Coturnix japonica: one gene and its partners. The protein of the gene in region 1 interacts with the protein of each later gene in a pairwise test. Links are inferred from orthologs where the notes say so. Each region holds a gene or a part of one and is shown on either strand. Other genes may lie near its edges. The genes, in order: IPCEF1, CYTH3 and CYTH1.

Region 1 (3,748 bases):
CATAGGTCATGACTCAAACCAGCCAGTAAAGCTGCCATGTTTCAGGCAGTTCATATCTGAGCATTCCCAGGACACTCTGAGTTGTAGTGCAGCTCAAGCAGAGAAAAGAAGATATAAGTATCTTGCTTATAGTTCTCAATGCATTTGAAAAACAAAGGTTATTAATTATTAGTTTTTAACTTAGTTTATTATTCTCTTACATTGCTACCTTGCTGCATATTAATACTCCCTAAAAAACTTAAAACTCAGCTCCCCTAATCAAAGGTTGTTCCCACTAATAAATTGCCTATTCCGTATTTTTATACAAATTATTTTACACAATATGAGTCATATTGAAATTGCTCTAATTTAAATACTTATGTTTATTTGCATGACTAAGCATTGTTTATCAGTAAACTTGGCACTTCGCATCTTCAAACATTTTAATTGCATATACATCAGTTATCTGAAAATGTACCCAGGAACTAATCTTGGAATCATATGCATACACTCATCTACTGCTTCCTGAAATAACTGATGCTTTCCCATGTGCACTGAATCACAGTCAAGGTAACAGTCACAGGCCTGAAGAAGCATTTCTTACTTATGGGAAAAAATGTATGGTCCAGAGAGGAGATAAAGATTACCAACTAGATTGATTTGTGCAGAACTTCCTCTGATTCAATTTTCTGGCTATATCCCCTTGTCCTATTTGCCATGCACTGCCAAAAGGAGTCTGGACATTTGCATTCTGAACCTTAGATGTTTATAGACATTGATCAGATACCCACTGAGTCTTCTTTTCTCATGGCTGAACAGACCCAGCATTTCCTCATAATAGAGGTACTCGAGGCAAAACTGGAAAGAGATTTTGAGGAATCATTAAGTCTGCCTCTCCCATCAGGTCAATTATACTTGGACTATTCCTGACAGAGGGCTACCTAACATGTTTTTTAATTGCAGCAAGTAACAGAGGCATCACAGCTTCCTTCAGATCTCTAATTCAGTGTTTAATTCTCTTAGTAAATAAATTTTTACTAACTTTCAGCCCCATGCTCCATTTAAGCCTATTACCTCTTGTCCTATGAAAATTAGCCCTATAGTTTCTATTTATTTACAGAAATCTTTATCACGTTTTTTCTTATAAGAACAAATCAGTCACTTAAGACTATTCAACACCAATTTATTCAATATTTTCTGAGGAGCCAACACTCCCTGAGCAAAGAGTCTTTAAAATGCCATTGCCCCTCCTTGTAAATTATCTGCTGTAGTAAGTACTCCATCTTCAGTGATGGGCACTGCTGGCCTAAAATGATGGTAACTAAAAGGAATGGAAATTCTCCATTAGTTTGGTTAATAAGAGACTTTCAGGAAGAACCTGCTGAAAACAAGAGCCCCAAATCTTTTCACTGATCTTTGCTTATAAGTACATACATATAGTGATATATATGTGTGTATATATGTGTGCATGTATGCATATATCGAGCCAACAAGTTATTTGAGCAAGTCACCTCTGCATTGCTTTTTCTATTCCAAACCCAGACACTTAACTTCTGCAACTTAGACCTTAATTTTTAATTTTCTTTTTTGTATGAACGTGCTTAGAAAATAATTAAATCATGGATCCAGCGTGCTGTGGACATTTACAGCTGTACAGTTCTGCTTGTTACAAAATGTGCACGATATAAATAAGTGAGAGTGTCAGAAAGGGGTAGAACATAAAAAGTCACAGCGTGCTCGCTTGCCACTATCAACAAAATATCCCAGAGAAAACTAAATGCATCCTATTAGCTGGAAAACTAAAGCTGCCTGATGTGTAGGAAGGACAGTATCTGTCTCCCCTAATCCCTACTACATTAAAAACAAAACAAACAAAAACTATTCACTCAATTATCACTCTGTTTGTCTCATTATTCTCTCTCATTACCTTTTTCTGTATTAAACAATCTACCACCAAGATTAGGTTGCTGAACACATAAAATTAAGGCTGCACAAGACAGAGGCTGGGTTTCCATTTCCTGGCCAGTGCCAAATCTCCTGACTGTTAGATGAGAACAGCAGACACAGAATCCACCCCATCTGAGGGATCTCCTCCTGCCTTTGCACGACTCCCACATCCTCCTCAGGAAGCACTGCTTGAAACATAACTTACACTAAGCAGATCACACCTGAAAAATGTATAAAACATCATTACTTTAAAACAAAACAACTTGTATAAATTGCTCATAATGTACATCGTTACTTCAATCCTCTGAATACAGTTTTAACTTACCACAAGTCAAGAGATCACTCGTAAAGTTTGCATATGTGAACCAAGAGGGCTGCCCGGGCACCTAGGACTACTTCCCCTCTTCCTTTTCTTACCACCCCCTCAAAACTGCCCCATGAATACAGGAAGAGAGATCACCAGCTGCCTGCTGAAGAAAACAGCCCCTGAATAGTATGCATCATTCAGATGATTTGGATGATTCAGTGTTTCCACATGAACTCTGCTGAAGATGCACACAAATGGCGCTTTGTGCATTTCTGAATCGCAAGCATAATTAATAGTCCAAGTACATATCAAAACAACTTCTATTTGAAGAATAACCTTCCATCTAAAATACAGCACTGTATCTGTTACAATACAAGAGTTCCAGTTCTCAGACCTATTAACAGCTAGATTCACTTGTGTTTACATACTCCAGCATCTCCAGCCTTTATATACCTATCTAAAAAATCGTTCTCAAAAGTTGCAGTGAGCAGGACAATGACAAGAGGATCTAGTGGCAAACTCATCATTTCGAAAGCCACCTGATGTGATGTGCATTGGTTTTAAGCTGGAAGGGCTGGGAAGGAACAGAAAGGCCAGATGTTGCTTTCTCAGATACCGCAACACAGTAAGCACCTGTTTTGTTCCTAGGCATTTCACAGACTTAACTGCAGCTACATTTTGAAGGTTCAAGATGCTCTCACTATTTAGTAACTCACAGGAGAATACCATTAAAAATTCCCAGATATAGGCTGAGAACAAATGAACACACATAAACAAAATGAATGTACTTAGTGTGGTGCTCAAGGATGAAGAAATAGTATCTGTTTTTGCTTCTCTAATTTCCCTTTCTCATTTATTCAGAAGTTCACTTGATTCCTCTCTGTCAACAAGATCCTACTTTTATTTCAGCCCTGTAGCCATAAATCAAGAACGGCCCTGTTAAACCAAACAGATCAGATTTGACACAAAAAAAAGAAGAATCAGACCTTGTGCTGACTTGTTCCTTCCCGATCTGCCCTGTTAACTTTCCAGGAGAAGTGCTTGTTTGTCCTAGAGAACAAAAGCAGCATGAGCATGTAGAACCAGCCCAAGGTGCTCTGCAGGAGACACACAGTTAGTTGTTGTCTGAATCCACATGCAGCACCCATGCCACCACAGACTACTGTGCTTCAGCAAAGATAGAAGGATTGAAGGTTGCAAGGTAGGTAGTAATAACAGAATGCCACCAGAAACCATGCATATATTTTTCCACCAATGGTTTGTGAGCCATACTTTTATTTTCATCACAACTGAATTTTGCTTCATCTTAGGATGCAGACATTATACATATGCAACCTGAAGAGCTTGTGTCAAACTTGTTAGGCTGGTGCAACTTGCATCCTACAGCTCCTATCCCGAACCAGTGCTGTCAGATTCATCCACCCTTGCCAAAACATTTCCCATCTTACCCAGCTACCCAAGCAGCAAGCACTGTGTGAGACCAGAGTGTCCCAAAATCTTCTGAAATTTGAAAAT
Region 2 (3,648 bases), on another chromosome or scaffold:
CATCGGGCAAAAACAGCAAATGAACAATATCACATTTCACTCTGCTTTATAGGGGAGAAAAATCCCTGAGCACAAGTAAAACTGATGGGATTCATTTGCTTAATGGAGGCTGTAACAGTGCAGTGCCAGGGGCTGCGTATCACTGAAGGGTCCAGTGCCCCTAAATTCACACTAATTTAAGAATATGTTTTTCTTACTCAATAGGACGCTTACGAAAGACAATACACAGAAGAAGAACAGCTTTGCTGTGTGTGTAGTTCCCAATGCAATCAAGGTTTCCCAAAATTCTAACATAAAATTAATAACAAAGATCCAAAGTGATTTTGTTAGAGCACAAAACGTTTTTCTCTCGGTCAGAATTGTTCTTCTAGTTGCATCCTTCAGTGAATGCAGAAAAATCATCTGTTTTCCTGCTTTACGTTCAAACACCTCCTTGAGCAGAGGATGCCTGCACATGAGCCAGACACTCATGCCAGCCTTTGTGGACAGAACAGCACTGATGATACGGTTAGTGACACCGAGTGAAAAAGCAAAGTGATACAATAAATTTAAGAAAAAAAGTAAAAAAAAAAAATATAAAAGAAAACAACAACAACAAAAAAAAACAAAACAGAGGAGGGAAGAGGAAGAAAATAAAAGAATGAGCAACTGAACAAGAGGGGGCTGGAAAGCAATCAGATACGTACCTCCTAATGCGAATAAGCAGAGACAGCCAGTCACAGAACAGAAAGGTGATAGGTCATAGGCCATAAGGAAAACAAGAAGGCACATTTAAACCACTCATTAAAAAATCATACCAAAACCAAACCAAGAGAAACTCACAAATAATATGGAAAAATAAAGACACACAAAAATAACTCTTTGACGAGAAATCCTGGTTTTGCACGCAGAAAACTGAGTCAAAATTTCACTAGTTTTCTGCAGTGACTCCGTGGAGGTTTAGCTGTTATCCATCCATCACGGCACGTGGCAAACACCAGATGGAGTTTCCTTTCTGCTGCTGAGTTTTCAGTTCTCAGATACCAGAAAAAAACTCCTAAGTCTGAAACAAGACGGCTGGTATGTAGAAGTGCAATAAGGAGTAACAACCTTCCCTTGTAAAGGAGTTACTTATTTTGGCTTAAGCGTTTTAAATGTAAATTACAGCACGAACCCCGTTACGTTTATAAGGAAGCAGCAGACACAGAAGGAGCAGACACGCTAACAACCAACAGACAGCAGCGAGATTGCTCCTGTAACTAACCTAATTTCAGCAGCCAGCCCTCCCGGTCAGGGTTGAAGAAGGTGTGTGTGAGGTCATTGCCATCATCCTCTGGGATTTTAAAGGGCTCGTTCTTAATACTTTCATATAAATTCTAGAAGAATAAAAAAAACAGGAAGAAGACCTCATTAGTAACATGTAACAGAAAACACAACCAGAACATCCTACTGCTGCTCAGTTCATTTGTACAGAAAGCAAACGCTGCCAAATAACTCAGGACCATCCATTCCCAATTGCTGTTTAACACACTGAATAAGTTTGTTTTCCAATTACTTTCTGTGTAAACTCTCCCTCCCTTCCCCCAGATTTTGTAAGTACTCCCCATCGAACACACTGTTATCGCAGAATTCCACACTGCAGAAGTTTCAGCTTCTCAAACTGTTCCAATTTTCTGTAATTGTTGCCAAACTAATCTGGGCTCTTAGAAAATACTTCATACCATCACACTGCGTTAGTGAAGTAAACATCTCTGCTGTTAGCTCAGGGCAGAGGAGGAAGCTCCACACGATACATGGAAAGAATAGAAAGGCAGTAACAAAACAATGATGTTTTCATCAATTAATTTTCCTCCTTTCTCTGACTTAAGTAGGAATAATACTTTTCCCATAAGAACACTGGCACAGCACAGTGTGAGAAACATACAGAGGATTTCCTCCAGAATCTCTTCTCAACATTAGACCAACCAAAGTTAGAGACAACTAACCACGAGTATCAGTCAACACTTCTTTCAGTTTCTCAAATGGTTACACGTGGCAGAAAAAGTTCTCGTTACTTCCCTTGAGAAATCAGTCTGAGAACTGTCGTGTACGTTTCTCATTTTCCTATTAAAAAACAAAAAGCAACCCCTGATCTGCACCATTTTCACTCACCCGTAGCAACTCCTCAGGCAGGTCCCCCCCATCGTTGATGCCACGGTTCATGGCGATGAATCGCTCTGCTGTGGGTTTGTCCTTGACGTTGGGGTTGTGCAGGCTGGTGTTCAGCATGATGATAGCGAAGGACAGCACGTAGCACGTATCTGAAATCAGATTTGAAAAATGATTTATTTTTCTATATATGCATTTTCTGTTTACAAACTTGAGTAGATGCTGTAACTGACTTGGTCTGTCAGACACCAATTCAAAGTGTCTCCAAAGTTTTATCACAGACACCCAGAGGAAGAACAGTCTCTTCAAAATAACACTTGAACTGCATGTAAATAAAACTGAAAATAACATTTTATATACAGCAATAATAGCAGAGTGGCACAATCCTGGGCTGCAGCAAACAAGAACAAGCCCAAATGCAGCAGCTGTGGACACATAAACAAAGCAAAACAAACTACTTACCTCTGGAAGAACTCCAAATCTCCAGCAAGATACTCTCACTTCCACTGCAAACCCTTACATTAGGTCTGGGCAGAAGTGGGTCCTGCCTCCACCCCTTCTGCTCCCTCAGCTGCGCTGCATGTACCTGAGCTGCCCTGGGCTGGCCCTGCCTTCATACCAGGTGTCAGTCACTGGTCAGGCCGTGATTTAACTTTTCAGCTACACGCAGCCAAAACAGTCTGGGGACATTTCTAAAGTGTGTCTTATACTCAAATTAGTTTACATAGTAATGGTAGAGTTTAGTAAGTGGAAATGAATACTTGACCATCAGCTTGTGGTTTCCAGATGTGAAATATAGAATCAGATAGCAGCATTTTCTCAGTTCTCAGGAACTGATTATTCCACGTATTATTTTACTTTGGACTTTCAAATTAGCCACTGTTTCCTTGAACCAGATGTGGAAGAACATTAACATTTTAACATCACATATAACTAACCTGTAGACTGAAAGACACCTGGGTTACAAAGGCAATAGCGTGAAGCAAAAGCTTCCATCATACGGTCAATTTTCTGAGCCTCTCCTGGGAGTCTGAAGCTCCACAGAAACTGCCTACAGAAAAGAAGAATCACTGTTAGACTCACGCCAATATTTATATATTAAGCAACTATTGCTAATAATCAGAAACAAAACCCAGCAATGTGGATATAGTGTCCTAGAAATATGTTCTCAATTTCTCACCAAACAAGTCAGGAGCTATCGTAAAGCAACATGCACAGATGGTAACCCAGTAATGCAGCCAGCAGCACTGCATGCTATCAGGCAAGGTAATATGGCAGTTCATGTTCTGAGACTCTCTTTTTTCAGGGCTAGGAAACAATTTTCTGTATGCATCCCATTTTTCCATGAGAATACTAGAGAGGGAACAAAAACAGGTCAATCCTCCCTGGGATCCCTGTCTACTAAAAGCAATAAGCACTCAGTTAGACTTTACTTGCAATGCAGAAAGAAACAGGAGATAAAATATTTCTGGTAGGGAGAAAAGGAAGGAGTACAGCAACACTTGTTACCTTTAAGTGAAT
Region 3 (3,748 bases), on another chromosome or scaffold:
CATAGGGACTCATAGCAGCCACAAAGCCCAGCCCCCCCCCAAGCCTGCCTGATGCTGTGCTGGGAGAGCACTCGTGACATGGCCCAGCCGTGTCAGCAGCAGCAGGAGGAAGAGAAACCCCAGACGCAGAGCTTTTCTCAGCGAAGGACGCAGGCGTTAACCCTTCCATAGCACCGAGTGGAGCTGCAGCAACCTCTGAGCCTGCACAAGGCTGCAAGAGGGGGCTGGAGCAGAACACCAAATCCAGCAGCCATGCCAGGCTATCATCCCATGCCAGGCTAACATCCCATGCCAGGCTATCATCCCAGGCTGCCATGCTGGGTGCAAGGATTCTCAGCACAAACCACAGAGCACCAATACTCTGAGCCATCCCCCCAACCTCTGCAGAGCAATGCAGGGGAGCTGCTGCCTCACCCCCAGGGCAGTGAGGAGCATGGCAAGGCTCCATCCTGGATTCAAGGAGCAAATACCCCGCTCACACCATGCCTTGAACAGACACAAAGCCCCTCTGCATCGCATTCAGCCCCACGTGCCTCCTTCCCACCCACTGCCCCACGCAGGCCCATCTGCTCACCGCTGCCCTGCACCCCGAGGACCATCCTGCTGGGCTGTGTCCCGCTGCCCACGTCTGCACAGTGCTGCAGAGGTGCTGCTCTTTGGGGTGCCAACAGCTGCCCCCTCCCAGAGCTTCCTGGGTGAGTCAGGGCAGCTCCAGGCCAATGAGCTCAGCGCTGTGCCAGGCGTCATCGCAGCCCGGCTGAGAACTGGCACCAGCAACACCCGGTTCCTGTGCAGCCAGAGCCCCGCGCCCCCTCCTCGGCCCCCAGGGTCACTGCCGCCCACCCATCCTTGCAGGCACTGGAGCTGGCCCGGCCCTTCCTTCCTCGGGGGCTGCCAGGATGCATGCGGCTCAGCACGTCCCAAGCTCAGGGCGGTGACACCAGGGACCCCTCTCCCACCCCATCCAGAGCCCCAACCCTGCCCTGAAGATCTGGCACTGTCCAGCCATATCCCCCCCCCCATGTGTGGGTTCAGGGCCTGTATAGGCTGTAAGGACCACCTGCTCTCATTCCCTGCAATAGGGCCGTGCCTGCAGCAGCACAGCCCTCAGCAAGGTCCTGTCCCGCTGCAGCTGCCCGGGGAGACCACAAGAGCTCCGGCACATTGACTCAGCTAAATCCTGCTCCACAGCGTGTGATGGAAAAACAGCATCCAGAGCATCTCCCAGGAAAGCTCAGGGAAGAAGGAGCTAAAAAGAGGCTCACATTGGCCTTCCAGCTGAACGCTGTGCTGCAGGGACACAGCCCTCCTGCTGCACAGCTCCATCCACAAGCAGAGCTGAACAGACCGCAGGGATGCCCCAGCCCAGGGCAGGGGCTGCTGACCACAGGGCATTGCTTGTGGGTTCCACCATGGGGCTCCTGCTGCACCCCACTGCTGGGGGGGGGGGTTGCTGAGGGGCCCCAAGAAACTTCCTGCCGCTGCCCCAGTGCACCACATCCTGTTTTCACTGTGCTGTGTGCACATCCTGGGTTGCGTCAGCCCTGTTCTTCCCCACAGACAGATGAGGTGCGTCAGGAGCACAGCATAGGGCGGCTCCAAGATAGAATCCCCCAACCCCACCCCATAGCTGAGAGCTGCCGGGGGTTCTCAGCCCCTTGGAGCAGCCCTGCCCCCAGCAAGGAACCCAGCCCACCAGTTCCAGGCTCCTGCACCCCCTAAGCACAGAGCCCATCCTGGCTGCGGGGCTGGAGTACAGCAGGGGCACACAACGGAGCCACATCCATCCTCACTGTGCTATGCCTTCCTACAGCCCCACGTCCTGCAAGAGTGCCAGGAGTGCACCCCATGTGCTCCTTGCTTACTCTCTATTCCCAGGTCTCAGCTCGGGAGCAGGAGCCTGCAGACAGACAACAGCAGCTCACAGGCACTGCCAGCCCACGGTGGCAGCTGTGACACAGCAGGCGTCAGGGTGCCCCAGCCAGGTTTTGTCTGGAGGACGTGGGCTGGAGCTGTGCTCACAGCCACGCATGCTCCTTCCTGCTCCGAGTAGGGCAGCAGTGAGGGCATCACCCGCAGCAGCGCTGGGGTAAGAGAGCAAGGAGCTGCTGGACACATCTCACTGTGCCACGTGAACCCACTGTGCTCCCATGGGCTCCCCATCCCAGCAATGTGGTGCAATACAAGCTGCACCCAGAGCCCAGGGGGGCCCAAGCCTGGCAGCGCACGGTGGAAGGAGACAGCAAGACAACTGGGACTGTGTGCTGCTGTCAGCATGAGCCATATGGAGCCAGAGCTACGGGCACCTCGTCTGCTGGGGGGGACAGGGATGGGGCACAAAGCACCTACCTGCCGTGGTGGCCACGGAGGGGCAGAGGAAGGCCTGGAAGCTGGAGGCGCAGAGCTCGCTGACCGTCCCCATGCTGCGCAGTGCCGGCTCCCCCGGGGCAGGCTGAGGGCAGGAGGGCACCGCACAGCAGCTCCCTGCAGCTGGGGCTGCCCCGGGTGTCCCCGCTCCTCCTGGAGCAGGGGAAGGCGGCTCTGGCAGCGGGAGGCTCCAGCAGCAGGAGCCCACGCGCCGGTCGCAGCCAATCCCGCTCCGTGCCGGCACCGAACGCTGCTGTGTTCCTGGGCACTCAAAGCCACTTGGAGGACGTAGAGTAGGGAAGTTCCCAACAGCACCCCTGGTATCAGGCTGCCTGCCCCCCCTCTGCCCCCCTGCATGCCCCGGCCCCTGGGTGGCTGACGGCGGGGGTATTTTTAGAGCGGTTTTATCCCACCGTATTAGAGCTTTAAGCATCAAGAGCCGCTGGTTGCGTAGCAACCTTCCCTGCATAAAAGGAAGGTGCATAAAGAAACACAACGGGCTGGAGCTGGCGTGGGGAGCCCCCAGTTGTGGGGAACAGGGGAACGCTGCTCCCCAGTATGGCCACAATGGATTCAGGCACCTGGGAATGCAGAGCGGGCAGCCTGGAGCTGGCACATCATGGCTGTGATGGAGATGATTCTCCAGGCCCTGGCAGCCGGGATGCTCCTACAGCAGGAGCTGGGGCTCTGCCCGAGCTATGGGCCTCCAGCAGGGCTGGGGGCAGCACTCAGCCCCACCGCACCCGGCCCCCAACCTGCCAGCCCCACAGGCAGCGAGGGAGCCCAAACCGGACAGACAGCTCCTTCCCTTCCTCCGAGCAGGAGTGATTCCCCAGCGTGGGGCACGTCCGTGAGTAACAGACTGCAGAGCCTGTCGGGGCATGAGGCCGTGTCCTGCAGACGGCACCTGGTACTGGGTCCTGACTGCTGCTGGGAGCCTGCTGCAATGGGCTGAGCTGGAGAACCCCCAGGGTGGGCAGATAGCATCCAGATGGGGAAGGGCTATGGGAATGGGCACAGGACCTTGGGGGCATGGCTGGGGACAGGCAAGAGTTACCCTGGTGTTGGGAGCAGCTGTGGATGGATGGGAAGGAGATGGGAACGGCTGCTCACAGGTGCTCATCACCTCCATGACTGAGTTGTGCTGCTTCCCCTTCCCTTGGAAGCAAACAGCTTCTGCCTCCTCCTCACTGCAGAGGTGAAAGGTGTGAGGAGCTGCAGGGACACAGGGCTGGGCCAGGGGGAGCCTGTGCAGGGAGGGCAGCCACGGGCACTTGAAATGGGCTGCAATAATCACAGCTGCACCAACTGTGGCTCAGTCTCTGCTTCCACATTGCAGCCCCAGCTCAGGGCACTGTGCTGTGCACCCAGAGCCATGGGT

Evidence for each region.
Region 2: the proteins of IPCEF1 (region 1) and CYTH3 interact in binary tests that used the Homo sapiens proteins (3 or more experiments, as listed by UniProt). The link is inferred for Coturnix japonica from reciprocal best matches to the Homo sapiens genes IPCEF1 and CYTH3.
Region 3: the proteins of IPCEF1 (region 1) and CYTH1 interact in binary tests that used the Homo sapiens proteins (3 or more experiments, as listed by UniProt). The link is inferred for Coturnix japonica from reciprocal best matches to the Homo sapiens genes IPCEF1 and CYTH1.

What each region holds. Positions count from the first base shown.
Region 1 is NC_029518.1:45,233,715-45,237,462, forward strand, and holds the start of IPCEF1 (interactor protein for cytohesin exchange factors 1), read right to left. Parts: upstream 2,429-3,748; 5' UTR 2,252-2,428; intron 2,148-2,251; exon of another isoform or gene 1,907-2,147; intron 1-1,906. UniProt on the Homo sapiens protein: Enhances the promotion of guanine-nucleotide exchange by PSCD2 on ARF6 in a concentration-dependent manner.
Region 2 is NC_029529.1:8,519,544-8,523,191, reverse strand, and holds part of CYTH3 (cytohesin-3), read right to left. Parts: intron 3,179-3,648; coding exon 3,066-3,178; intron 2,280-3,065; coding exon 2,131-2,279; intron 1,356-2,130; coding exon 1,244-1,355; intron 1-1,243. UniProt on the Homo sapiens protein: Promotes guanine-nucleotide exchange on ARF1 and ARF6. Promotes the activation of ARF factors through replacement of GDP with GTP. Plays a role in the epithelial polarization.
Region 3 is NC_029533.1:4,599,344-4,603,091, forward strand, and holds the start of CYTH1 (cytohesin-1), read right to left. Parts: upstream 2,554-3,748; 5' UTR 2,423-2,553; coding exon 2,350-2,422; intron 880-2,349; exon of another isoform or gene 600-879; coding exon of another isoform or gene 575-599; intron 1-574. UniProt on the Homo sapiens protein: Promotes guanine-nucleotide exchange on ARF1, ARF5 and ARF6. Promotes the activation of ARF factors through replacement of GDP with GTP.